7 linked regions of the Canis lupus familiaris genome follow. Each later gene encodes a partner of the first gene's protein in a complex. Links are inferred from orthologs where the notes say so. Each region holds a gene or a part of one and is shown in the gene's direction. Other genes may lie near its edges. The genes, in order: PRPF4, LSM6, PRPF3, USP39, PRPF6, PPIH and LSM5.

What was found.
Region 2: PRPF4 (region 1) and LSM6 share a complex: the UniProt entries of both Homo sapiens proteins name them as parts of the precatalytic spliceosome. The link is inferred for Canis lupus familiaris from reciprocal best matches to the Homo sapiens genes PRPF4 and LSM6.
Region 3: PRPF4 (region 1) and PRPF3 share a complex: the UniProt entries of both Homo sapiens proteins name them as parts of the precatalytic spliceosome. The link is inferred for Canis lupus familiaris from reciprocal best matches to the Homo sapiens genes PRPF4 and PRPF3.
Region 4: PRPF4 (region 1) and USP39 share a complex: the UniProt entries of both Homo sapiens proteins name them as parts of the U4/U6-U5 tri-snRNP complex. The link is inferred for Canis lupus familiaris from reciprocal best matches to the Homo sapiens genes PRPF4 and USP39.
Region 5: PRPF4 (region 1) and PRPF6 share a complex: the UniProt entries of both Homo sapiens proteins name them as parts of the U4/U6-U5 tri-snRNP complex. The link is inferred for Canis lupus familiaris from reciprocal best matches to the Homo sapiens genes PRPF4 and PRPF6.
Region 6: the proteins of PRPF4 (region 1) and PPIH are in contact, whole or in part, in a crystal structure (PDB 1MZW), measured with the Homo sapiens proteins. The link is inferred for Canis lupus familiaris from reciprocal best matches to the Homo sapiens genes PRPF4 and PPIH. Residues at the interface, in NP_004688.2 of Homo sapiens: Arg113, Gly116, Glu117, Pro118, Ile119, Thr120, Leu121, Phe122, Gly123, Glu124; in NP_006338.1 of Homo sapiens: Phe14, Arg26, Phe46, Cys47, Thr48, Gly49, Pro57, Ile58, Gly59, Tyr60, Lys61, Gln173, Cys174, Gly175, Glu176, Met177.
Region 7: PRPF4 (region 1) and LSM5 share a complex: the UniProt entries of both Homo sapiens proteins name them as parts of the precatalytic spliceosome. The link is inferred for Canis lupus familiaris from reciprocal best matches to the Homo sapiens genes PRPF4 and LSM5.

The regions. Positions count from the first base shown.
Region 1 is NC_049232.1:68,065,220-68,068,719, forward strand, and holds part of PRPF4 (U4/U6 small nuclear ribonucleoprotein Prp4), read left to right. Parts: intron 1-1,497; coding exon 1,498-1,620; intron 1,621-1,730; coding exon 1,731-1,838; intron 1,839-1,928; coding exon 1,929-2,047; intron 2,048-2,562; coding exon 2,563-2,756; 3' UTR 2,757-3,500. UniProt on the Homo sapiens protein: Plays a role in pre-mRNA splicing as component of the U4/U6-U5 tri-snRNP complex that is involved in spliceosome assembly, and as component of the precatalytic spliceosome (spliceosome B complex).
Region 2 is NC_049236.1:44,949,823-44,953,945, forward strand, and holds the start of LSM6 (U6 snRNA-associated Sm-like protein LSm6), read left to right. Parts: upstream 1-1,323; 5' UTR 1,324-1,482; intron 1,483-2,691; exon of another isoform or gene 2,692-2,796; intron 2,797-4,123. UniProt on the Homo sapiens protein: Plays a role in pre-mRNA splicing as component of the U4/U6-U5 tri-snRNP complex that is involved in spliceosome assembly, and as component of the precatalytic spliceosome (spliceosome B complex).
Region 3 is NC_049238.1:60,216,107-60,219,606, forward strand, and holds part of PRPF3 (U4/U6 small nuclear ribonucleoprotein Prp3), read left to right. Parts: intron 1-362; coding exon 363-509; intron 510-3,500. UniProt on the Homo sapiens protein: Plays a role in pre-mRNA splicing as component of the U4/U6-U5 tri-snRNP complex that is involved in spliceosome assembly, and as component of the precatalytic spliceosome (spliceosome B complex).
Region 4 is NC_049238.1:39,808,387-39,811,886, reverse strand, and holds part of USP39 (U4/U6.U5 tri-snRNP-associated protein 2), read left to right. Parts: coding exon 1-49; intron 50-1,396; exon of another isoform or gene 1,397-1,494; coding exon 1,495-1,647; intron 1,648-3,500.
Region 5 is NC_049245.1:48,289,014-48,292,513, forward strand, and holds part of PRPF6 (pre-mRNA-processing factor 6), read left to right. Parts: intron 1-482; exon of another isoform or gene 483-589; coding exon of another isoform or gene 590-660; intron 661-1,762; coding exon 1,763-1,931; intron 1,932-3,228; coding exon 3,229-3,347; intron 3,348-3,500. UniProt on the Homo sapiens protein: Involved in pre-mRNA splicing as component of the U4/U6-U5 tri-snRNP complex, one of the building blocks of the spliceosome.
Region 6 is NC_049236.1:754,211-758,337, reverse strand, and holds the start of PPIH (peptidyl-prolyl cis-trans isomerase H), read left to right. Parts: upstream 1-1,327; 5' UTR 1,328-1,416; coding exon 1,417-1,482; intron 1,483-1,711; coding exon 1,712-1,776; intron 1,777-2,027; coding exon 2,028-2,051; intron 2,052-2,328; coding exon 2,329-2,373; intron 2,374-3,268; coding exon 3,269-3,311; intron 3,312-4,127. UniProt on the Homo sapiens protein: PPIase that catalyzes the cis-trans isomerization of proline imidic peptide bonds in oligopeptides and may therefore assist protein folding. Participates in pre-mRNA splicing.
Region 7 is NC_049235.1:44,955,705-44,959,696, reverse strand, and holds the start of LSM5 (U6 snRNA-associated Sm-like protein LSm5), read left to right. Parts: upstream 1-1,192; 5' UTR 1,193-1,304; coding exon 1,305-1,350; intron 1,351-2,436; coding exon 2,437-2,532; intron 2,533-2,817; coding exon 2,818-2,845; intron 2,846-3,521; coding exon 3,522-3,594; intron 3,595-3,992. UniProt on the Homo sapiens protein: Plays a role in pre-mRNA splicing as component of the U4/U6-U5 tri-snRNP complex that is involved in spliceosome assembly, and as component of the precatalytic spliceosome (spliceosome B complex).

The DNA.
Region 1 (3,500 bases):
CTTTTGTGCAGTCTCCAGGTGCTTTACCTATATTTTTTAATTGAGTTTTTTTTATTTTCACAAACAGTTCTATTATTATTTTTTCGTTTATTTGAGGTGGGGTTTTTTTGTGGGGGGGTTTTGGTGTTTTAAGTTTTATTTATTTAATGGGCGCCTGGGTGGATCAGTCAATTGAGCATCTGACTCTTGATTGAAGCTCAGGTCCTGATCTCAGAGTTGTGAGATCAAGCCCCCTACTGGGCTTCATGCTCAGCACAGAGTCTGCTTAAGATTCTCTCCCCGCAGGGGATCCCTCGGTGGCTCAGCAGTCTAGTGCCTGCCTTCAGCCCAGGACGTGGTCCTGGAGTCCTGGGATCGAGTCCCACATCAGGCTCCCTGTATGGTGCCTGCCTCTCCCTCTGCCTGTATCTCTGCCTCTCTCTCTCTCTCTCTCTCTCTCTCTCTCTCTCATGAATAAATAAATAATTTTTTTTTTTTTTTAATTCTCTCCCAGGGTTCCTGGGCAGCACAGTCATTTAGCGTCCAACTATTGGTTTTGGCTCAGGTCATGATCTCAGCGGTTTTGGGATCGAGCCCTGCATCAGGCTCAGCGTGGAGTCTGCTTGTGTTTCTCCTTTCATTTCCCTCTGCCCCTCCCACTTGTGTTCTCTCTCTAAAATAAATCTTTAAAAAAATTCTCTCGCTTACCACTCACACTCTTTCTTAAAAAAATAAAACCTAAGTTTATTAAGATTTTATTTATTTATTCATGAGAAACACAGAGAGAGGCAAAGAGACATGGGCAGAGGGAGAAGCAGGCGCCCTGCAAGGAGCTTGATGTAGGACTCAATCCCAGGACCCTGGGATCACAACCTGAGCCAAAGGCAGATGCTTAACCACTGAGCCACCTAGGTGTCCCAGAATCTAAATTTTATTTATTTAAGTAATGTCTACACCCACGTGGAGCTTGAACTGACAACCCTATGATGAGTTGCATGCTTCACCAACTTAGCCAGCCAGTGCCCCTCTACCACCATTTATTGAAGAGATTTTATTTTCCCTGTTGAAATTGCTCTAGTAGCCTCATCAAAATCATTTGACCAAAAATGTGTGGGTCTCTTTCTATCCTCTCTCATTTGTTGCATAGATGTATTTGTTTATGACTGATTTTTGTATCCCCAACATCCAATTTAAGGCCCAACAAATACTCAGTGAATGAAAAGAGTTAACAGTAGAATTGAAAAAGAAGGGAGGCTACAGTCTCTGCTGGGCCATTCTGGGTATTCTTAAAATCGCCCCTGAAGTAAATTTATGGAAGTCCATGGTTTCCCAGGTAGCACTCAAGACAGATAATGACTAGTTGTTGAAGTATTTTTTATGCCAGAAAAGGATTTCTTCTTAATATGATTATATGAATAGTTTCAGAAGCATAATTTAAGCTATAAGCATTTATAGTACTTCACACATTGTAGGAACTGAATATCTGCTAGTTAATTATTAGTTTGATTTTTATTGTAGCTATGACCGCTCGTGGCGCTTATGGGATTTGGAGGCTCAAGAGGAGATCCTGCATCAGGAAGGCCACAGCATGGGTGTGTATGACATTGCCTTCCATCAAGATGGGTCTTTGGCTGGCACTGGGTAAGCCTTCTTCCACATAGCCAGGGGCAGATCAATAGTTCACCTGTTACGTGTGCCTGCTTCCATGGAGAAATGGATTCAAAATGTTTGCTTATAAATTATTTTGTCAGGGGACTGGATGCATTTGGTCGTGTTTGGGACTTGCGCACAGGACGGTGTATCATGTTCCTAGAAGGTCACCTGAAAGAAATCTATGGAATAAATTTCTCCCCCAATGGGTAAGATCAACTAATCTCATGAGGAACGGGAAGGGTTATTGGTCAGAATGTGTCTTTGTTTCTAACTTTGATACTACATCTGATCCACAGCTACCACATTGCAACTGGCAGTGGTGACAACACCTGCAAAGTGTGGGACCTTCGACAACGGCGTTGTGTCTATACCATCCCTGCCCATCAGAACTTAGTGACTGGTGTCAAGTTTGAGCGTAAGCTTTCCTCCTATTTTGCCTAATCACAGGACAGACAGATTGCACTTCCGCGGAATGCATGCCAAGCTTTAGCTTAACTTAGAAGTGGAACAGGAGAGAATTTGGCCTTTGTTGAAAAAGGAGCAAATTCTAAGTTCCTTTCCTCTACCATATTTTCAGACAAAGCTATGGCATAGCATGCTTGCTTTAGGAAGTGAAGAAGACTTCTATAATGCTTTGAGTCCTTTTTTTCCCTGAAAGTTGTAAGCACTGCATTCTTAATTTATTCTAAACAGATGGTCAGGGGAAGAGGCACAAGCCCTTAATATTGTTGTTTTTTTCCCTAAGTCTGCCTATAGTCCTTTTCTCCTGGAGGCCTTGTGGGAATGTAGATGAGAAGATTGGGCTTTTCCAAATGGGGAAATACCTTCTTTTTTGAAATCATATATTGTAGCAGATTTTTGTGCTTTTGTTTTCTTTGCTCTTTTGATACTTGAATTCCTCAAGCAGCTCCTCCTTCTTTTCTCTTAAAGCTATCCATGGGAATTTTCTGCTCACTGGTGCTTATGATAACACAGCCAAGATCTGGACCCACCCAGGCTGGTCCCCACTGAAGACTCTGGCTGGCCATGAAGGCAAAGTGATGGGCCTAGACATCTCTTCTGATGGGCAGCTCATAGCCACTTGCTCATACGACAGGACCTTCAAGCTCTGGATGGCTGAATAGGCAGGACCAGGGAAGAAGGACTCTAAGCTCAAGCTCTTTCTTAAGGGCCATTTTTAAAAGAAAGGAATTGACCTGTTTAGTTCATCATGTTTTTTGCCAATTACCATGTATAGACCCTCAAAAGAATTGGATTTCCAGGTCAGCCTCCACTCCAGATAGAGAGCCCAGTCTCTGGGTGTTGACGAACTCCTTTCATAGTTGAAATTCTAATTCTCATCTTCAAGCCTTGCCACGGACTGTGTAGACATTGTTTTTTATTAATCTTTTGTTTGAATGCCCTGTTGCCTCCTTCACAGCACTCAGGATTGTGACTGGCTACATTTTTAATTTTGAAACGTGGCTTTCCATTACATGGTACATGCTTCAGGACTCCATGTGACCCACAGAGCAAGGCAGCTGAACTGGGAGCTAGTCTGGGAGCCCTCTTGGAAAGAGGCATTTCTCCCTACACACTGGTTAACCAATGCCTTGACAGAACCTTTCCTCTACCTTGAGAACGGGAGATGAAGAAGTAGACCACAGCTATGCTCAGGGTTTGCAGTAAAGAAGATTTTACCTCTTCCTGTTGAGTTTGCTTGGAATGCTGACTGCATCGGGAAGCTCAGAACTGAACATTTGCCCTGTCAGAAAAGGTCTTCCTTTTTGCTTTGAGGTTTGGCATCCTTTGTGTTACCCCGAAGCTGGGCTGTTGTGTCAAGATGGCAATGAAATTTTTAGAAAGCAAAAAGGAAGTCTGTGTGTCAC
Region 2 (4,123 bases), on another chromosome or scaffold:
TAATTGTAGTTTATCAATGGTGCCTGCTGCACTGGTCCAGCGGGGCCCTCAGAGATCCATGCCTCTTGGAAGAGGTAGCAACTATGCCTGCAGATGAACCATGCCCTTAAAACTTCTCATTGCCTCCTGCCTACCACACCCGTCTTAATGACTCCACCAGGGCTCTATAGCAATGAGAAAAAGGCTATGAATCAAAAAATTATTTTTTATGAATCACTGAAACAACCACTGAGGAATATAGTACAATTTGAGGTCTTTTGTGAGGAAGGCTTTTTAGGGACAGGGTTTTCTTTATATCTGATTATGTTTGTTCTTTGCAGCTAATTATTTTATTTAAATGATACTTAATTTTTTTCACATTATATCTTATACCGCAAGAGCTTCAAATAAAGCCTTTTCAAGAAATCTGTAATGCTTGGTTTTTACCCAAAGTGAGCTTTTATGGAAGGATATAAGGAAATCTCTTTTCACCACCAAATCACACCCAGTTGTTCTCTGGCCGTCATATCAATCAAAGATTCTTTCTTCAGCTAAGACAGGTTTACGAGAGGGGAAACTCATGTAGATCTTAGGGAAAAAACCCTGCATCTTAGATCTGTAACACTTAAGAGTTAAGAATCTGTCCAAAGATATTATTTCTTTGTTTAGAGTGTTGCAAATCACAAGCAGAATTAAAGTATAGGTTTTAAGTTGAGGGTATGTGTGTGAGGAGAAAAAGGAATCAAGTGTTGGTATAACACTTTACTTCTTTTTCTTCGCCCTTTCCACTAATAGCAAGAATATTGAGAATCCATGCAGAATTCCAAACCAAGTTCCCATAGCAGCACTTAAATAATGTCTGCATACCATTTCCAATTAGAACTAGATTGTAATGTAACGCAAGTCATACCATTATAATACGGAGCTACTTTAGGGATTTTAATTCTTTTTGTGGCAATTACGTTGCCATGGAAACAATCTCTTGCTAATAATGACTTCATCGCACGATCAAAATCCAAAGTGGATTTAAAGATTTGAGGATGCCTGCTTTATTTATTTGCATTAACTTTTTCAAGGACCTTTCCGAGCCTGTATAGTCATGACCCTAGTAGTCAATTCCAGTTTAGTAGGACTTCAAGCTATTTCTTGCATCTCTGCCTAAAGGAAATCCTGCCTAAAAGATCACTTCCAGGCTTTGTTTTGTTTTAAGTATTTTAAGGGGTGTTTGCTTTCTGCTAAGAGGTAGCAGCAGCGGCTCTTTCTCCTCTGACCGCCAAAGCCCCAACTTTGCCTTCGGGCCAAACGAGACTCCCGGCTCGGCGCGCGCCGCCGAAGCGCGGCCTTCTTGGGCCCCGCAGGCTGCCGTAGCCCGGAAGGGCGCTCCCCGGCGGCCGCAGAGGCGCGCCGCCCGCTCCGGCAGTTTCACTTTCGGTTTCGCCCGGGCTTCGGCGGAGGCCGCAGCTGCGCGCCACCTGGAGCGGGGGTTTGGGTCCCGGCCGCCAGGTGAGCCGGGCGGCCGCGCGGGCGGCGGGGGCCCCGGTGTTCGCTGGCCCGGGGTGGGTGCGGGGAGCGGCAGCCGGGAGGCGGGCCGCGCGGACCCCAGGGGCCCGGCCCAGAGCCCCCCGGAGGGGCGATGGACCCCGCGGGCGCCCGCCGCAGCCTCCCCGCGCCGCCGACTCGCCTTCCGGGACCGGGACCGGGGCTGCTGGCGGGGTCCTCGCCGGCGGGTGGGCGGGAGAGCGGGCCGCGGGGCCCCGTGGGCCGCGCCGGGTTCCGAGGGCTCCGGGGCCGCCGCGGCCACCTTACCGGGGCCTGGGGCCTCGGGCCGCGGGCGCCCGCAGGGTACGGCGTCGAGTCCTGGCGCCGGGGCTGCCGCGGATGAGCGCGCGCGGCCGGAGCAGGGGATGGGGCCTTAGGGTGCCCCCCCCCCCCCCCAATGCCGCAGAGACACAGGCTGTGGAGATCCTGGACTCAGAAGCGCTTAGCGAAGGAAGCCCTATTCACTGAACCCCTTCCATCTTTACTCTTGCACGTGCCACTTCCTGTTTGAGCTACGACTACCTGTGCCCTCCGTTAACAGTACAGAGAGTTGTCCGCTTTCATTGAAAAGTGCCTCTTAAATGTTATTTCTGGTTTTGCGCCTTTTGGTGGGCTACCTGTTCTGTCCTTGTGTAGGTCCCGTAAATTATTCAGCCATTTCCCGACTGTGAGGCATTTAGGGTGTTTGCGAATTTTTGTTTCATCCTAGCATCCCAGGTAGTACTTTGATAAACGTTATTTTTAAAACTGCATTTCGGATGATTCACTTGGATTGATTCTGAGCAAGGACATTTTTACAATAGGTGCTGTGCCCCAGTAAGGTCTCTTCAGATCTACATACCCCTTGCCAAATTGTTTTCCAGGAGAGTTTTAGCAGTTTGCATTTCATGTAAGGTTGTGCCTGTTTTCACCAAAAGTATGATAGCTCATAATATGTATTTCTAACACGTCACCCTCACTTTTTTTTTTTTTTTTTTTTTTTTTATGGTGGTGTTTCATAATGCCAATTGCTTGAATTTTGTGCAGGAGTCTAGAGAATTATCTTGGGTTTGTGTGTGTGTGTGTGTGTGTGTGTGTGTGTAAAAGTATTACTGGAGTTCCTGCATAGGCTGACAATGTTAGAGCAGGATGATCTCTTAAGTGGTCATCCAGCATAACTCCCTTATTTTGCAGATGAGGAACCTGGGGCCTTGAGAGGTGAAATGATGAGTTCTCCAAGGTATACAGCTACATTAAGTAGCAGAACTGGGATTAGAATTCAGGTTTCCCATCTCCCAAGTGAGTACTCCTTATGCTGCATTGGGTGGTCTCTCACTAAACTGTGGCATACTTGTATGAGCATTTTTAAAAATCTTGGCATCACTTGAATTATTTTGTCCTGTTAGAAATAACAGAGATTTTAGTCATCTGAGGGAAGTGTAACACTTGGGAAATTGACCATTTTCAGGACTGGGACTAAGAAATCCATTACTTAAAATGGCAACCCTTCAAGATTTTTTTTTTTAAAGATTTTATTTATTCATTCATGAGAGAGAGAGAGAGGCAGAGGGAGAAGCAGGCTCCATGCAGGGAGCCTGATGCGGGACTCGATCCCAGGACTCCAGGATCACGCCCTGGACCAAAGGCAGGCGCCAAACCGCTGAGCCACCCAAGGATTTCCCCCCCTTCAAGATTTCTTGACAGTTGTTTTTAGATTCCCTTTATGTCAGGATAAAGTATCTAAAAAGTTAGAATTTAAAAAAAAATTAAAAGTTAGAATTTGTACTCGATCATCTGATTAGAATTGAGCTGTTTGTTCTCATTTGTTATACCTTGAAAGTTTTTTAAAACTCCTTGTTGCTTGAATACTAGAGAACAATGGTTTTTTGATAAAGGGTTTATAACAGAGTTTTTCAACCTCAGTTGACATTTTGGGCCGGATAATCCTTTGCTGTGGAGCACTGTCCTGTGCTTTTTAGAATGTTAAGCAACATCCTTGGCCTCTATGTCCTAGCACCACCCTCCTCATTCAAGACAGTCCAGAATGTCTCCAGATGTCCGCATTTGCTTACAGGAATCATTTGGGAAGCTTTATAAAATGTCAGTTACGGTGTCCCCTTGCCTGGGGAGTCTGACTAGGAGTAGTAGACTTCAGGAATCTGCATTTTAACAAGCATCTCTGTTGACTCGGATGCAGCTGGTTCTTGTACAACACAGAAACATTTCTATTTTCTTTGTCTTTTATTTGGTGGTCAGTAGCAGAGATATGACTGTGGTATAGCCATTTAAGTGCACAGATGATGCAGTGCTAGTCACTATACCCATAGTTTGCGGGTAGGGGTGAAAGGGACAGGGATTTTCCTTGGCACTGTCCTCAAATGTCTCCCACAGGATTGATTGGCCGGTGAGCTTAGGTTCCTTTTCCCCTGTCTCTGAGAAGCTTAGAACCTACTGTGGGAGACTGATCAACAGGAAAACTGCAGAACAGCCTGCTAAATGGGAAGGGGTGCTCTCTGAGTGCTGGATTCATGGCTGGAGTGAGAGAGGGGAGGAAAGTGGCCCTCTCCTGGATGGGGAGGAGGAATTGGTATGAATCCTTCAGAAGAGGGCTAGGTACCCCCTCTGT
Region 3 (3,500 bases), on another chromosome or scaffold:
TAAGAGGATGTGAAGCAACAGTTTGATCAGAGTGGGATAAGATTATTAATGAGGAAAACTTCCTGGAGGAGGTGAGTTTTAGGCAGGATTTGGAACAGGGATATGAAAAGTTGAGGGAAAATCATTACAACTGTAGGTAGTAGCGTTTCTAAAGACTTTGAGATGGGAACATTTATAAGGACATGGAGATGAAATTTGCTTGACTGGAGTAGGAGAATGATGAAGTTGGGTGAGATGGTCCATTTGGTGGAGGGTCTAGAGGCCTCTGGGAAAAGCCACAAAATGCTGATAGGGACTAGGATGATTCTTCCTTTGTCCCGTGGGCAGGGAGACAACTCTTATTTTGTCTTGGGTTTCCTTAGGAAGTGTTTGGTGATGACTCTGAGATCTCCAAGGAATCATCAGGAGTAAAGAAGCGACGGATACCCCGTTTTGAGGAGGTGGAAGAGGAACCTGAAGTGATCCCTGGGCCTCCCTCAGAGAGTCCTGGCATGCTGACTAAGCTCCAGGTGAGTAATTAGGAACTGAAAGCAGTGATTTTATGAGTTGAAGAAGCAAGAGATGCATGGGTCCAGATTCATTGTGACCTTAATTTGAATTAGTGTTTAGCATCGGGAACTTTTATTTCCTGTTTTATGTTTTGTCATTTCTCAGTTTAACGAGGAGTATTCCAATGAAGACTATTGAAATTGCATTTACTCAGGCACCTGGGTGGCTCAGTGGTTGAGCATCTGCCTTTAGTTCAGGTTGTGATCCTAGGGTCCTGGGATCAAGCCTGCATCGGGCTCCCCACAGGGAACCTGCTTCTCCCTCTGCTTATGTCTCTGCTTCTCTCTATGTGTCATGAGTAAATCTTTTTTAAAAATTGCATTTACTGGGATCCCTGGGTGGCGCAGCGGTTTGGCGCCTGCCTTTGGCCCGGGGCGCGATCCTGGAGACCCGGGATCGAATCCCATGTCGGGCTCCCTGTGCGTGGAGCCTGCTTCTCCCTCTGCCTCTGTCTCTGCCTCTCTCTCTCTCTCTCTGTATGACTATCATAAATAAAAAAAAAAAAAAATTGCATTTACTGAGTACCTATTATGTGGCAAACAAGGTGTATTACACATATCATTTAGCCAGTTGTGTACCTCATTGGATCATTGAGAAAATTGTTGAAGTAGGGACGCCTGGGTGGCTCTGCGGTTTGGCGCCTGCTTTTGGCCCAGGGTTTGATCCTGGAGACCCGGGATCGAGTCCCACATTGGGCTCCCTGCATGGGGCTTGCTTCTCCCTCTGCCTGTGTCTCTGCCTCTCTCTTTGTGTCTCTCATGAATAAATAAATAAAAATCTTTAAAAAGAAAAAAAATTGTTGAAGTAATCAGAACTCAGCTTGATGGCAGAGGAGAATTTCTAAATACAATGCAGAGACAGTATAACCCACTAAAATAATTTTTTTATTAATAATTTTTTAAAAGGATTTATTTATTTATTTATTTTATGATAGAGGCAGAGATACAGGAGGAGGGAGAAGCAGGCTCCGTGCTGGGAGCCCAATGCGGTACTCGATCCCAGGATTCCAGGATCGCACCCTGGGCCAAAGGCAGGCGCCACACTGCTGAACCACTCAGGGATCCCCCACTAAAATAATTTTAAGTTGACTTAAAATTGTTGTTTTTTTAAATATGTGATTGAGAGACACAGAGAGAGAGGCAGAGACACGGGCAGAGGGAGAAACAGACTCCATGCAGGGAGCCTGATGTGGGACCCAACCACAGGACTCCAGGATCATGCCCTGGGCTGAAGGCGGGTACTAAAGTGCTGAGCCACCCAGGGATCCTCCAAGATGTGACTTATTTAGAGAGCATGCACAAGTGAGAGAGGAAGGCAGAGGGAGAGAGAGAGAATCCCAAGCAGACTTTGCTGAGGTCAGTGCAGGGCTCCATCCCAGGACCCTGAGATCATGCCCTGAGCCAAAACCAAGAGTCAGACGCTCTACCAATTCAGCTACCCAGGTGCCCCGACTTTGTGTTTTTGTTTTTAATAGGAATTTTCTATATTTTTAGAATGGACTTTCTTGGGGTGCCTGGGTGGTGCAGTTGGTTAAGTATCTGTCTTCAAAAAAAAAAAAAAGTATCTGTCTTTGGTTCAGGTCATGATCTCCGGGTCCTGGGAGCAAGCCCTGCATGGGGGTCCCTGCTCAGCAGAGAGCCTGCTTCTCCCTCTCTCTCTGCCTATCCCCCCTACTTGTGCTCTCTGTGATACTCTCTCAAATAAATAAATAAAATTCTTAAAAAAAGAGAGATTAAAGTAAATTTTTAAAAAATATTTATTTAGTCATGAGACATACAGAGAGAGAGACAGGCAGAGACACAGGCAGAGGGAGAACCAGGCTCCATGCAGGGAGCCCGATGTGGGACTCGATCCCAGGTCTCCAGGATCACGCTCTGGGCCGAAGACGGTGCTAAACCACTGGGCCCCTGGGGCTGCCCTAAATTAATTAATTTTTAAAAATGGGCTCTCTTAAAACAATTTTGATACTAGCGCACCTGAGCAGCTCAGTCAGTGGAGCATACAACTCTTGATCTTGGGGTTGTGAGTTCAAGCCAGTTGTGTGTAGCGATTACTTAAAAAAATTAAAAAAAAATAATAATAATAATAAATAAATAAATATATAGAATAAAAAAAGGAACAAACAGGTTTGATACCATATAAACAGTAAATACTTCTTCAACCATTTAAGATTTCCTGGAAGGGAAATAGAATATATACATATGCATATCGGTGGGTGAATGGTGAATGAATTTTTTTTTTTTTTTTTTTTTAAGGTGAGGGAGGCAAAGGGAGAGAGAGAGAATCTTAATTAGGTTCCATGCCCATTGCATCTCCTGTCACCCAGCACGTTGCTTGTCTCTGGGCTCAGTCTCCTGGCCCTGAGATCATGACCTGAACTGAAATTTAGAGTTGGACTCTTGGGGCACCTGGGTGACTCAGTTGCTTTAGCCTCTGCCTGCAAATCAGGTCATGATCTCAGGGTCCTGAGATCAAGCCCCACATCAGGCTCTCTGCTAGGCAGGGAGCTTGTTCTACCTCATCCTCTGCTTGTTGCTCTGCCTGCTTGTGCGTGCACGCCCACTATAAATGAATGAATGAATGAATAACTTAAAAAAAGAGAGAGACTCCTAACTAATTGAGCCACCCAGGCATCCCTAAATTTGCTTATTTGTATCTGTAGATGATAGTTCTGCAAGGAAAGAAACTGATAACTGGTGCTTTATGGAGAATAGAGGTGGAAGAAATAATAATATACCCTACTGTACTTTTTTGCATTTTGAACTACTCAAAAGAAATATTAAGAAAGTAAATTTTACAGGGGTTCCTGACTGGCTCATTGAAAAAAGCATGTGACTCTTAATCTTGAGGTCGTGAGTTTGAGCCCCAAGTTGGATGTAGAGATGACTTAAATAAATTTTGAAAATAATTTAAAGTAAATTTTAAAAAATAGAGGGGCGTCTGGGTAATTC
Region 4 (3,500 bases), on another chromosome or scaffold:
CCTTCCAGACAACTATGAGATCATCGATTCTTCCCTGGAGGATATCACAGTATGTGTCCATGAGGGTTGATTTGGAACTAGTTCTCTTGGGAGCCATCCCAGGGCTCCTGGGGATCTGCCCCACCTGAGGTTACGGAAGAATCTCAATCCCTTGGGCTTGGAGAGGCTTCTTTTTCTTTGGGAGGAACCAGGGAGACTCTAGTAAGAAGATCAGGATTCATAAATGTGGTCTGATCTGTAGCCTAGCTGTTATTTCTGCATTTAATGTTGAGAATTAGGACTAAAGAAATATGGCTACTTTCTAACTTTAGGACTAAAGAAATATGGCTACTTTGTGAACTATATTAAGCTTTTATACTTTGGAATAGGGATGTGAATTGGGCCTGGTGTAGGACAGTGGATATCAAGCTGCATACCAGCTCCTGGCTACTTTTGATATGATGCGGCCAGAATGGCCAGTGTATCCCATATGTGGGCTCTGGTGTGTGATCTGTGCCAAGAGTCCCTGTATTTTTTTTTTTTTTCCTTTTTAAAGATTTTTAAGATTTACTTACTCATGAGAGACACAGAGACAGGGCCAGACACCTAGGCAGAGGGAGAAGCAGGTTCCCTGCGGGGAGCCTGATACAGGATTCAATCCCAGGACCCTGGGATCACAACCTGGGCCAAAGGCAGACCCTCAGCCACTGAGCCATCCAGGTCACTGGATGGAGCCATCCAAGAGTCACTGTACTTAAGTGGAGAGCATGGAAAGTCTTCTTGGGTTTGATTAATGTTGAAACTGTTGATTATAATTTTCCTTTTAAGCAAGTGTCTACATACACATGTTGACTGCTCTGTTCATTTTTAAGGAAAGCTTGGTGTTCAGAGTTTTGAAACATTATTTATGCTGCTTTTATAAGTTTTATAGGCCTATTAACAATTGAGGTTAAAGTAGTTCTAATACTTGGAGAAAGAGAAACAAATAAATGCAAGGTTTTAAAATGAATTAGTAGAAGACCTCTGTTCAGCCCTTTACATAATGACCCTTGTAACTCTGGGACTGGGGAAGGTTCTGTTCCTGCCCCTCTAACCACAGAGAATTCATGAGATCTCAGGTTTGCATTACTGCTTCTGTGCTGGGCCTATACTGGCTCTGTGTGAAGTCCCATGTGAGATTCTGCCTCCTGCTGCTTGCAGAAACTTGAGTGTCCTCCAGCTTCTGACAGTCATTTAATTTATCATGGAGTTGGCCAGACCTGGGGCTTGAGGAAAGACCTAGGATTCAGTGATTTTGGGTTAAACACAGAGATCCCTTTCTACATTAATAATGTGGAGAGGGCCTGTTCCATATTACCTCAGCCTTTATACCTATTGTTGGGAGCCCTTTGGGTGTGTGGTGAGGCATTCACAACCAAAGTGTTTCCTGTTTCTGGCAGAAATTGCTATTTCAGATATATCTTGTGAACTCTGTAGCAGTCCTGCAACAGCTTGGAATTTTCTTTTGCTTTGCAGTATGTGTTGAAGCCCACTTTCACAAAGCAGCAGATTGCAAACTTGGACAAGCAAGCCAAACTCTCCCGGGCATATGATGGTACTACTTACCTGCCAGGTATTGTGGGCCTGAATAACATAAAGGCCAACGACTACGCCAACGCTGTCCTTCAGGTAGGATCAGGATGGGAACAGTGGGGGAGGGAGAGAGGTAACCTGGGAATACCATGAAGTTTAGCCAAGAAATGACTCCTTTCTGTTATGATCATTGGTTCTTGAAGACATCAAGTCTTGCTGAGGACTGTACTTGACTATTTTTTTTTTTTAAGATTTTATTTATTTATTAGAGAGAGAGAGGGAAAGAATGAGTGGGAGAAGGGAGGGGCAGAGGGAGAAGGAGACTTTCGGCTGAGCAGGGAGCCTAACACCAGAACTGGATCCCAGGTCTCTGGGATCATGACCTTAGCTGAAGGCCCACGCTTAACCAGCTGAGCCACTGAGGCGCCCCTGTACTTGAGTGTTCTATATCAAACAGAACATTTCTGTGTCAGCTCAAAGGGCTGCTGCCAGATGGTGAGGCCTCTTCTAGCCTCTGGAGTCAGTGGCCTCTGGAGTTTTCAAGGAATGAAGGATAGAATGTGTGTATGGCTTGGGAGTACCAAATAAGAAACATATGTGCAAGATGGGGTGTGTGTGTGTGTGTGTGAAATAGTGCAGATGTTCCTGTGCTAGTTGTCTGATGTCTTGATCCTGCTCTTAAGCTTACGGCTTGAACTGAGGAATGCAGAAAACCAGAGTTGTCTTATTTGCAATTAAGGTTTGTTTATGTAGAGGCGCCTGGGTGGCTCAGTAAGTTAAACATCTGCCTTTGGCTCAGGTCATGATCCCTGGGTCCTGGAATGGAGCCCTGCATCTGTCTCCCTGCTCAGTGAGGAGCCTGTTTCTCCCTTTCCCTCTGCCTGCCACTCCCGCTGCTTGTGCTCTCCCATTCTCTGTCAAATAAATAAATAAATTCTTCAAAAAAAGTTTTTTTTAAAAAAACTGAGTAATATTATGCATTGTAGGATGGTTAGAAAATGTTGATAAACACAAGAAAATTAATAATTTTGCTTAATTGACCAAAATTAATTAAAAAAACAAATATCTTTTTGGGGGTAGAAGATATAGAAAGTTTAAAGTGAAGTCTTCATTCTTCCCTTTCTCTAGTAGTCCATTATGGACTGGTTTAAAAGCAAATTTTGAAAGAGGCATCTGGGTGGTTCAATTGTTTGAGCATCTGATTCTTGATTTTGGCTTAGATCATGATCTCAGGGTTGTGAAATTGAGTCCTGCCTTCGGCTCCCTCCTCAGCGCTGAGTGTGCTTGAGATTCTCTCTTCCTCTGTCCCTCCCCCTGCTCATGTGCTCTCACATACCCTCCCTCCCTCCCTTCCTCCCTCCCTCCCTTCCTCTAAAATAAAGAAAAAATTAAGAAAAAGGTATATTATGAAATCATTACTGGGATACTTCATTTTATTGCACTTTGCTTTATTATACCTCTCAGAGGTTGTTCTTTTTACAAATTGAAGGTTTGTGGCAACCCTGTGTTGAGGAAGTCTTTTTTTTTTAAAGATTTTATTTGTTCATGAGAGACCCAGAGAGAGAGGCAGAGACACAGGCAGAGGGAGAAGCAGGGTCCATGCAGGGAGCCTGATGCGGGACTCGATCAAGGAACTCCGGGATCATGCCCTGGGCCGAAGGCAGACAGACACTCAGCTGCTGAGCCACCCAAGCATCCGGAGGAAGTCTTTCAACACCAATTTTCCAATAGCATTTGCTCGCTTCTTGACTCTCACATTTTGAGAATTCTTGCAGTACTTCAGGTTTTTTATTATATTTGCATTGCTGCAATCTCATGATAAAACTTTAGTGAATGAGGAGTTGTTTCTTACGGATGAGTGAAGAAAGTGGTTTCTTGAGGTGGAATCTACTGGTGAAGATGCTGTGAGGATTGTGGAAATGACCACAAAGGATTTGGAGTATTACATA
Region 5 (3,500 bases), on another chromosome or scaffold:
GGGCTGGGGTCCGGCAGGGTGCAGGTGCCACCGGCAGGGTCAGGGTCAGGGCCGGGGTCCGGGGGTGCGCGGGGCGGTGGAGCCCGCTCAGGACGGTGCCTGCATCGCGGGCCGCCCGGGAGCCTGAGCGCCGAGGCCTGGAGCCCGTCCCCCGGGGCACAGGGGCCAGGACACCTCGGAAGGGAAGCGTCCCCGCCTAGGCCCGGTCCTGGGTCCCCAGGGAGGGCACAGGCCGGTGTCCTCGGAAAAGCGTCGGAAACCAGTAAAGACGCGCCAGGCTCAGGCCGAGGCCCCGCCCCCCCGCCAGGCCCCCGCGCGCATGCGCCTGTCACCTTCTCCCCCGCCGCTGCCGCCCCCGCACGCAGCCGGAAGTCGCTCTTCGGGAACTTCCGCCCGGGGAAGGCGGGGTGGGCGGGGCTTCGGCGGCCCCGGGGCTCTGCTTCCGGGGCGCGGGTGACGCGGAGCCCGCGAGCTCTTCCGGTGCGGCGGCCGGGGTCGTCTAAGGCCTGTCGCCTCCCGCCTCCCGCCTCCCGCCTCCCGCCGCGGCTTCCGCGCCGTCGCTCCCGGGGCCCTGGTCGTCACCGGCGCCATGAACAAGAAGAAGAAGCCGTTCTTGGGCATGCCCGCGCCGCTCGGCTACGTGCCGGGGCTGGGCCGGGGGTGAGGCTGGGGGGCCTCTCGGGGCGGCGGGCGGGCGGGGGCTGGGCCTGGGCCGGGGAGCAGCCGAGCGGCGCGGGCCTTGGGCCGTCCCGGGGCGTCGTCCGCGAGGGTCTGCGAGCGGGTCCGCCTGCCCTGCCCTGCGCCGGGTGCCCCGCGGCATCGCCGTCCCGGCCGGTCGTCGGTTGAGGCCGGTATCGGGCTTCCCTGCGGGGGCGGGGGGGGGGGCACCAGCCTCCGAGCACCTGCAGCGTATCAGGTGCAGAGGGAACAGGTGTCGGAGCCCGGGGCGTGCTCGGCGGAGCGGTGGCACCTGAGCCCCGCTTGGGAGCAGAGCGGGCCCGGGACGCGGGAATGTGGCTGGGGCTAAGGGACAAGCGGGCTTGATGTGTGCTGGGTGGTCAAGAAAAAAGGGCAGGCGTGGAGGAAGATGAGGGAGTCTCGGGGAGTCTGTGCGAGCCGAGTGCAGGTGAGTGGGGTGATGCCGCAGGTCGGGGGGCAGAGCCCGAGGAGCCACCGACCCCACCACGCCCGTGTGGCGGCCCAGGAAGGCTAGAGGCCCGGCGGCCAGCGGGGTCCCAGCTGCCGGGGAAGCTCAGGTTTGGGGAGGAGGGTTTCGGAGGTAGACTGGGTAGAACCTGGTGACTGACGGGGCGGAGAAGGCGGGTGAGGGAGGCAAAGCTGATGCCCTGGTGTGGGCCTCGGCACTTGGGATGGCGCTGCAGTCATCAGCGGCAGCAGCCCAGGGCAGCGGCAGGATGAGCACAGAGGGCATCCCGAGGGGCTGGTTGGGGGAGATGATCAGCGGGTTGTGAGAAGCAGGAGGCTGGATACTCGGGAGGTCGGAGCTCTGATGCTCTGATGAATCTCTCCAGGAGGATGTGGGTGGTGGGTGGGGCTCCGCAGAGTAGGTCCAAAGGGGTCTCCCACGGAGAGAACAGACTAGTAACGTTTGAGAGTGCAGCATCCCTAGCGCGTTGCTGCCTGGATCCTCGGGGGTTTTCTCCCCAGACACGTTAGAAGAGCAGCTGTCATGGAGGACTGTGGAGGAAAGAACAAAGGGACGGGGTCACCCAGATAAACGATGTCCCCGGGTCTCTTGCAGTGCCACTGGCTTTACCACCCGGTCAGATATTGGGCCCGCCCGCGATGCAAATGACCCTGTGGATGACCGCCATGCACCCCCAGGCAAGAGGACCGTCGGGGACCAGATGAAGAAAAGCCAGGCCGCGGACGACGATGACGAGGATCTGAACGACACCAACTATGATGAGGTGACACGTGTGCACTCCCGGCCGGTCTCCAGAAGGGTTGACCAGCTTCTGAGCCCACTGCGCTCTTGGCATCTGATGCCCGCTCGGGGCAGGAGCAGGGGTGGGGGCTGGCATGACTAGTATTTCAGCCTCTAGTATTTCAGCCTCCTACGGGGTATCTTTAGCAGAGTGTGAGAGGGGAGCAGGAAAAGTAGAAAGAGATGTGCACTTTTGAGAGATGTACTTGCATTGTGGTGGTGTCTTGGCTGGTCCCTAATGATGAAGATTCTAAGTGGAATTGAGGATGATACTTGATTTATTACGTTTCAGTGCATGCTCTCTTACTTGATTAGTATTTGGTCTGTTGAAATTTTCTGCAGATGTGTTCTAACAGATGGCATTTTTGTTCAGAGGGAAAGATTGTTAAAATTTCAATTTTGAAATGATTTTAAGCTTCCAGGAACTTTGCAAAAATAGTACGGACAATTTCTGCATACCCTTCACAAGCTTCTCTCTATATTACATGACCTCAGTACAGTTACTATTTTTATTTTTTAAAGATTTTACTTACTTATTCATGAGAGACACAGAGAGAGTGAGAGGCAGAGACACAGGCAGAGGGAGAAGCAGGCTCCATGCAGAGAGCCTGATGTGGGACTCGATCCCGGGACTCCAGGATCACGTCCTGGGCCGAAGGCAGGCGCTAAACCACTGAGCCACCCAGGGATCCCTTCAATATAGTTATTGAAACCAGGAAACTAACATTGACACAGCACTGCTAACTGATTTATAGGTCTTATTAAATTAACACCGATTTTTCAGTGGTGTCCTATTTCTGATCGAGGACCCTGCATTGCATTCTTTGTGTCTCTCGTCTTCTTATTGGGGTAACTTCTCCATCTTTCATGCCCACGAAACCTCTTTTTTTTTTTTAAGATTTTATTTATTTTTTAAGATTTATTGAGAGCATACAAGCATGCACATACACACACACACACACACAAACACAGGGTGGGGAAGGGGCAGAGGGAGAGAGAATCTCAAGCAGACTCCCCACCGAGCATGAGGCCTGATGCGGGGGGTCGATCTCATGACCCTGAGATCATAACCTGAGCCGAAATCAAGAGTCATTTGCTCAACCGGCTGAGCCATCCAGGCACCTCCTCCCCATGACACATCTGAAAAGAACTGTTTAGTTATTTTGTTTTCCCTGATTTGGGGATTGTCTGATTGAAAAAAAATTGTTCAGCAAACATAACTAGATGTGTTCTCTGTTTCCACTTATGGGAATTGCTGACCTTCTCTGTTTTGTGCTTAGTTTAATGGCTATGCTGGGAGCCTCTTCTCAAGTGGGCCCTATGAAAAGGATGATGAGGAAGCAGATGCTATTTATGCAGCTCTTGATAAAAGGATGGATGAAAGAAGAAAGGAAAGAAGGTAAGATAAAGTATTGCCCTTCATATCTAATTATCCAACTTTAATTTTATTTAATTATTTTTTTAAAAGATTTTACTTTTTTTTTAATTTTTTTTTTTTAATTTTTATTTATTTATGATAGTCACAGAGAGAGAAAGAGAGAGGCAGAGACAT
Region 6 (4,127 bases), on another chromosome or scaffold:
CTTTAAAAAAAAAAGAAAAAGAAAAACTTGTGTCAACATAATGTTTCTATAGTCAGACTTTTTTTCTTGTCTTTTCTTTTTATTAAGTAGGCTCCACACCCAGCATGGAGCCCAATGTGGGGCTTGAACACACCACCCTAAGATCAAGACCTGAGTTGAGATGCAGTCAGATGTTTAATCGACTGAGCCACTGGTGCCCCTATGGTCAACCTCTCTAAGCCTCAATTTCTTGATCCATAAATGGGAACAGTAGTCATTCCTGTCCCATAGAGTTGTGAGGACCAAAGTAAATGAAATGTGTATTTAGAACTTAGTAGCTGCTTAACAAATGCTAGGCATCATCACTGATTTTCACTAGCACTGGTTTTTCCACAACCTCATCAACATTGGATATTACCAATTAAAAAAAAATTATTTTAGAATAGTTGGTATAAACTATACTGAAGGGTGACTCCTGCTGTTCTTTCTTCCCATCCTGCTCCTCTCCCTCCTACTCTCCTCGGACTCTTTCTTCTCCCTCTTCAGTTGGAGATAGAGAAGGATACCAAGGGGAAAGGAAAAGTAACTAAAAATAAAAAAGACACCATTAAGTTGAGACATTGAGTTTTTACATGTAACCCCTGCTTCCGCAGACAACTGGCCAAAAAGGATGATCAAAGGATATAGGACACAATAGCTATGATATCAGATACAGGCTGTGACTCTAAGCCTTGCCCAAGGTCACCTTTTTTCACTCAATTCATTGAATCTATTTATTGGATCCTCACTATGGGCTACTCAATAGTAGGCACTAGAGCTAAGGATGGGAGGCCAGGAATGATCTATAAACAGGTTCATTTTAAAAGCTCTAGCTGGGGGCAGGTGGCTCAGCGGTTGAGCACCTGCCTTCGGTCCAGGGTGTGACCCTGGAGACCCGGGGTCGAGTCCCACGTGGGGCTCCCTGCATGGAGCCTGCTTCTCCCTCTGCCTGTGTCTCTGCCTCTCTCTTTCTCGTGATTAAATAAGAAAATCTTTAAAAGGGGGAAAAAAACAAAAAGCTCCAGCAGGAATGAACTGTAGGTGACAAGAGGGGCAGCTCGCGAGCAGAACCAGAACTCCGGTTCCGGCTTAACCCGAGCGCTCAGGGTCCAGCACCTAAGACCCACCGCCTCCCGCGCCGCCGCGGCGCACACTGAGCGGAGGGGGAAAGACGCGCCGTGTACGTCGGCTCGGAGGCCTTGGCCCCGCCCACTTCCGCGACGCCCAGTTTCGGCGCCGGAGGCCGGGAGCGCTCCGCAGCGGGGCGGGACTTCCGGGGGGCGGGGCCTGGCCTCGGGTGGCTCTGCCTGCGCCTGCGCCGGCGAGTAGAAGCCCCGGAAATCGGGGCTCGGGTTCGCCGGAACCGGTGCCTGCGGCTACTGCTTCCGGGTCGGAGCCATGGCGGTGGCAAATTCAAGCCCCGTCAATCCCGTGGTGTTCTTTGATGTCAGCATCGGCGGCCAGGTGAGGTTCCAGGCCCGGCCGGGAGGGTCTCCCGCACCCGGGGATAGCGGACTCGGGAAGCCAGAAGGCGAAGCTGGACCGGGACCTACCGACCTGCGGGGCGGGGGGCTCGGGAGGGAGAGGAGTCGTCTCGCGCATCCCAGCGCCCCGCCGGGGGGCGGGGGGGACCGGGCCGCCCCCCCGGATCCCTGCTCGCTGAGGCCTTCTGACCGTGTCCCGCCGCCTGCAGGAGGTCGGCCGCATGAAGATCGAGCTCTTTGCAGACGTTGTGCCGAAGACGGCCGAGAATTTTAGGTAAGGGGATGCTCATCGGAACCGGGAGCCGGACCGGGCCTGCGTGGCGGCCCGCTCCCCGCCCTTGAGATCGGAGCTCCGAATTGTCCCCGTTTTTACCCTTCCCATCTCAGTTCATCGTAATTCTGGGTGTCGAGGCCGGCGGGCCCGCGGGGGGCTCAGGCCGCGCTCCCCTCCCCGCCCCTCTGCGCCAGGAGCGCCCCCCGCTGTGGGGTCACCGAGACTGAAGCATCCCCTCTTTTCCCTTTCAGGCAGTTCTGCACTGGAGAATTCAGGTCAGTCTCTCAGACGTGGTTGACTCGTCTGCTCGCTCCTGAAGGGTGCCCCGGGGCCGCAGTGGGGTTTTGGGGAACCACGCCCGTAGGCCTTGAATGATTGCTGGTGCCGGTAGTAGAAGGTTAATACCCCAAGGGTCTGTCTTCAGTTCATTTGCCTCCTTTATCTCTCTCCTCCCCACCACCTTTAGAGAGTCTCTTGGCTCGAGTGTGTGGGAAGCTGGGAAGACCTGTCATTACTTGTCGTCATTCCAAGTCTCTTTCTTTTTGGTTATAGAAAAGATGGGGTTCCGATAGGATACAAAGGGAGCACCTTCCACAGGTAAGGCTTGGCAAACCATCCTGCAGGATTTTAGAATTACTTTCTAAAAAAGTAATTTCTTACTTTTTTTTTTTTTTAAGATTTTATTTATTTATTCATGAGAGACACAGGCAGAGGGAGAAGCAGGCTCCATGCAGAGAGCCGGACGCGGGACTTGATCCGGGGTCTCCAGGATCACACCCTGGGCCGAAGGCAGGCACGAAACCACTGAGCCACCCGGGCTGCCCTGTAATTTCTTACTTTCTTTAGAAAGTAAGATTCATTTCTTTAAAGGGAACTAAAACCATAGGATAATTCCTAGATCTTGAGAAGGAATGTTTTTTGTGAACTCAACAATAGATTTGAAGGCTTATTAAAAACCAAGGGATCCCTGGGTGGCTCAGCGGTTTAGCACCAGAACTTTGCCAACTGAATTCAGCAGAAATGCCAAGGTATTAACAGTAGGTGCAAGGTTACAATTAACAGTGTTCTCAGCATCCTCTCCCCCCATCCCCAGACCCCCAGGGATGGATTCTGATTAGCTAAAGCCAGTAAGAGCAGAACATTTTTTTTTTTTTTTTTAGAGCAGAACATTCTTTAAAAAGGAGGCAGCCCGCGTGGCTCAGCGGTTTAGCGCCGCCTTCAGCCCAGGGCGTGACCCTGGAGACCCCGGATCGAGTCCCACCTCAGGCTCCCTGCATGGAGCCTGCTTCTCCCTCTGCCTGTGTCTCTGCCCCCCCACCTCTCTCCCTCTGTCTCATGAATAAATAAATAAAGTCTTTAAAAAAAAAACAAAACACCAAAGTTTAAAAAACGTTTTATTTTTAAATCAGTGTTAATCTAAAGTATAATGAGTACGTCAATGTTTTTCTAAATGACAGAACCTTCTCTCAGGATGCTTTATTCTCTGTTTCAGGGTCATAAAAGATTTCATGATCCAGGGTGGGGATTTTGTTAATGTAAGTATTATTTCTTTGCTAATAAAGACCTGTAGGAATATTGGTTTTTATTACTGCTGTTGCTGCTATTTTTTTTGCTACGGAGTCCAGTCCTGAGGCTTGAAACAATAACCAAGTTTGATGAGGAAGAGGGGTGACAGGAATGTCCTTTAGAGTTGCTGGCTTCCACTCTTTATACCATTAGGTGACAGACATCAGCACCCTGATTGAGTCACTGACTTCCAAATCAGCCTTTTAGGGCCAGAAGCTAACTTTCCCAGCATGCCTATAGATGATCCATGAGAGATGCAAACTAGTCAGTCACATGAAACTTGGGTAGAAATCAGATGCAATTGTTTTGTTTTCTAAATGGCAGTAAGTTCTCTTTCAGTGAGCTAAATGCTTATGTCCTATTTGCACATGCCTGGAAAGCTGAGTTTTTCATCAGAAACCGATTTAGTGGGCAAAGAATCAGAGCAACAGAGGTAGATCATTCTGGAAGGATGTTTCCTCTATTTACTAGCGGGGCCCAGTAGAATGGCTCTTCGCTGCGATTAATGGACTTTCTTGTGACTAGACTGTATGTGTCTCTCATACCAAGCCTCTTCGCCCTCCTCTGACTCTGGAAGGTGCTGAATAAACCATATCTCTTCTTAAATCTACTTTTGTTCTTAACCAACCACTTGTGTGCATGTCTGTGGTCTTATTAATATCATTTGGTTAGTCATGTTGCTATTTTCTTGAGTCTTGGGAGATGTCTTTCTCCTTCTTATGTATATTTATTTAGTTAAACTTTGAGGAATTTTTAAAGACTTCCTTCCTGTCTAGGAAAGGTTA
Region 7 (3,992 bases), on another chromosome or scaffold:
TACTCAGCAAAATGCCAAATAGTGTGTAGCTAATGCATATTTGTTCCATGAATGAATGATGTGTGTATTACAACTATCTGTTGTATGAATGAATGATGTTTTTTTCTGCTCTCTCCTGTTTAGACTCGTCAGCCTTACGTTCCTGGGATACAAATATGAAACAGACTTAAGGCAGAGAATTTGTTTGCTTTCTATTCTTTGCAAAACAGAAGTGCAAAAAGCCTGGGATCCCTGGGTGGCGCAGCGGTTTGGCGCCTGCCTTTGGCCCAGGGCGTGATCCTGGATACCCGGGATCGAATCCCACGTCGGGCTCCCGGTGCATGGAGCCTGCTTCTCCCTCTGCCTGTGTCTCTGCTTCTCTCTCTCTCTCTGTGACTGTCATAAATAAATAAAAATTTAAAAAAACAAAACAAAACAAAAAAAAAACAAAAAGCCTTAAGGTTTCCTGTGTGATGACATTAGCGGACAGTGACATCTGGTGGCTGCTTATAAGACAAGACAGTTAAGTGTTGAAAGTGGATACAGTCTGTGATAAATTGGACTCCTAGCTACAACAAGGTAAGAATGATAAGGTAGTAGGCATAAAAATAAAATGTGTTTTAAATTTCCACTGTAGAAGGTTTTTTTTCTTTTTAAATGCTGGTTGTGGGTTTTCAATTCACTGGACTTTAAAAAGAAGCACTAGATTCTTTTTTCTCTCTTCTTTAAATAGGCTCCGCACCCAACGTGGAGCCCAACCAGCGGATCCTGAGATCAAGACCTGAGCTGAGATCTAGTCTGAGGCTTAACCCACTGAGGCACATGGGCGCTCTAGGAGTAGATGCTTTGAAAAACGGCTTTTACAAAAACTGCAACACAGTGCATTAGTGGCAAAAAAAAAAAAAAAAAAAAAAATTTTTGGTTCGGTCTGAAAAAAGATCCTGGCTTGAGATGAGGTGCAACTTCATAGCAGAAAATAAGACGATTCAAAGATTTCCGTATTTTGCAAAACCTTCCGGGTTGCAGGAAGGATTTATTCACAAAGCAGGATCCCTTTAGCGTCTGTCTGTCGGAAACTGCCCGGGGAAAGCCGCTACGTGCCCAGACCGCACCACCTGCAGCGGACGGAACCTTCTCCCCGAGAGCTCAGCGCCCGGGAAAGAAGCGATTGGGAAGGAGCGACTCCTGCGGACTGATTGGATCGCAAGTTCGGCCTCCGATTGGTCGAGCCTGTCCGGGCCGCGGGCCGGCGGGGGGAGCGGAAGCGCGCTCTTTCAAACTTGCCGGGCTGACGGCGAGGCCGGCGGGCCACTTCCGGCGTAGCCATGGCGGCCAACGCTACCACTAACCCGTCGCAGCTGCTGCCTCTAGGTAATCGCGGAGAAGGGGACCGGAGGGCTCAGGCTAAGTGTTGGGGCCCGGGCGGCTGCGGCTGAAGTAGCCCTTGGTCGAGTGTTAGGGAAATGTGGGGATGAAGGGCCTCAGTGCTCCGCGGCTCGTCTGCCGGCTCCCGAGTGTCTGCGGCCCCGGGCCGCCCGGGAGCCTCTCTGCACTAGGCACGAGGGCTGGGCGCTCTTGGACAAATTCAGACGCCTCCCACTGCCTGCGGATAGCACACACACCAGGAGGAGATAGAGCGCTCCACCTGTAAGCATCACGCCGAGTGATAACGAAGCCAGCTAACGAGGCGTTCAAACTGCGGTCCGAACACAGAGATAGTGACAGGAAGAAATCTCTGGTGGATACGGTTGTGCCTCTTCCGATATTTTGTAGCCAAAGAGTTGATGGAGTTATCGGAAGTGGCCTTGTTTTGGAAGTTTTCATTCTTTGATTCCACCAACTCTTTTTGAACGCTTGCTATGTGCCAGACATTGCCCACTGAGGATAGAGTCCTGGGAAAACAACCACAGTTGTTTCATGGGGCTTAGACTCTTAAAAAAAAACATCAAACAAACATTTTTATTCATTCATGAGAGACACCCAGAGAGGTGGAGAAGCAGCCTCCATGCAGGGAGCCCGATGCAGGACTCGATCCTAGGACCCCAGGATCACGCCCTGGGCTGCAGGCAGGCGCTAAACCGCTGAACCACCTGGGCTGCAGGGGGTGGGGGGGGCTCAGATGTTAATTATATATTAATTATGCATTTCGTATGTTAATCAAAATCACTTAAAATAACATTAAACCACAACCGTGATGGATAAACTTCAACAAAGGAGAGGTAAGTGGTAAACAGGACGTTTTTGTTTATGCAACAGAGATAACGTACCGTAAAATCTCTAAAGTTTTTGAATGAATACTTTCTCTGGTTTATCTTTCACAGTAAGTAACTAACAAGTGCCAGTAGGCATTCCAATATTTGTTGAAGAAATGAACAGGTAAAATAATCTTTTTTTCTCCACCCCCCCACCCCTCTTTTTTTTTCTTTAAAAAAAAAAAATATATATATATATATATAGAGCTCGTGGACAAATGTATAGGATCAAGAATTCACATTGTGATGAAGAGTGATAAAGAAATTGTTGGCACACTTTTGGGATTTGATGACTTTGTCAGTATCCTTTCAAAAGGTGGTGGTGGTATGGGTTTTCCTGCAGTACTTAAGAACAGAAATAAGAATATGGACAGTCAGTACGTAACTGGTTATTGTATTAGAAATTTATTCACCTCTTGATAGCGTTTTAAGAGGTGTGTGTACTGAAAAAAGATAAAGTTCCTACCGATTACTAGTATTTTGCTCTGGAGCCATTGTATTAAACGTTGTAATTAAAATGGAGTAAAGATAGAAGCCAGAGTAAATTCAACCTGGTATATGTATTTTTCTTAACACCAAATTTCAGATATGGTACTGGAGGATGTCACTGAGTTGTGAGTAGTGTTAAAAATTAAAGAATTGGGGGGAATCTCTCCTTAAGTCAATTTTAGTATTAATGAGTTTAAAATGATTAATGAGAAAACATTGCCTGTCAGAAATACCTTAAAGATAGAAATTTTATCTACTGACACTGGTAAAATTGGATCAGTTATTACCGGATGTAATTATTATGTTATTATTAATGACTGGTAGGGACTTAGTGGAGACTGAGCTTTGAGATAAAAGATACTAAAAACAGCCAAGGATGTTTGTGCTCAGACAAATCAAGGCATTAAACTTAAGATATAAATGATAGCTCCATTATATTAGTTTTAAAGATCACAACCAGTGTCTGCTTTCAAAATTGAGTTGATTACAGATTGGTTTAATGGGTAAGGGATTAGTAGTAAATAATAGTAAAAAGGTGAGGCTAGTAAACATTCCATTTCATATTTGATCTCTTTGGCCAGTTTTAGCTTCTTTTAGTTTTGATCCTAGTGGATGTGGATCTGAGGCCAGTCAGTTCACTGTGTTGCCTTTGGTCATCCAGTGGATAACCTTTGTCTCTGAAAACTACTGACATAATTGCTCAACCTCATATTCATATAATATAAGAATAACTTTTTTAGGGATCAGAATGTTGGCTTTGATTATCATTGTTTATCTTGACTCTTTTATTTCTTCATTTAGTGAAATCACACCAGAAGGAAGAAGGATCACTAAATTAGATCAAATTTTGCTAAATGGAAATAATATAACAATGGTAAGGTACAGTAAAGCTGGGCGTTTTTTTAGATGTAGCCCATTTTTGTGAGGCAGAGATTACAGATTACTTGGCTTGGTTAAATAAATGTTCATGGCCCAGTGGGTTTAAGTTGGGAATGAGATGCTCCTGTGATCAGGGCTCTAAAGCTGAGCTACTGAACATGACAATAGGCTTAAAGATTAGTTTGCTTGGGCTTTTTAATCTTTTGGTTTGCCAAGAATCATTGTTTAGACTCTAAGTATTAATTGACGATGTTGGGATTATAAACAGAAGCAATGACCTGGAGAAAATGGGAATGTGGGGGAGGAGCAAAGAGGCCAGGTATCTTTGATGGGTGAAAAGGGGTTTTTAGATGATGGGTGTGGTGGTGGTATTAATAAGCTCTTTTTCCTTCT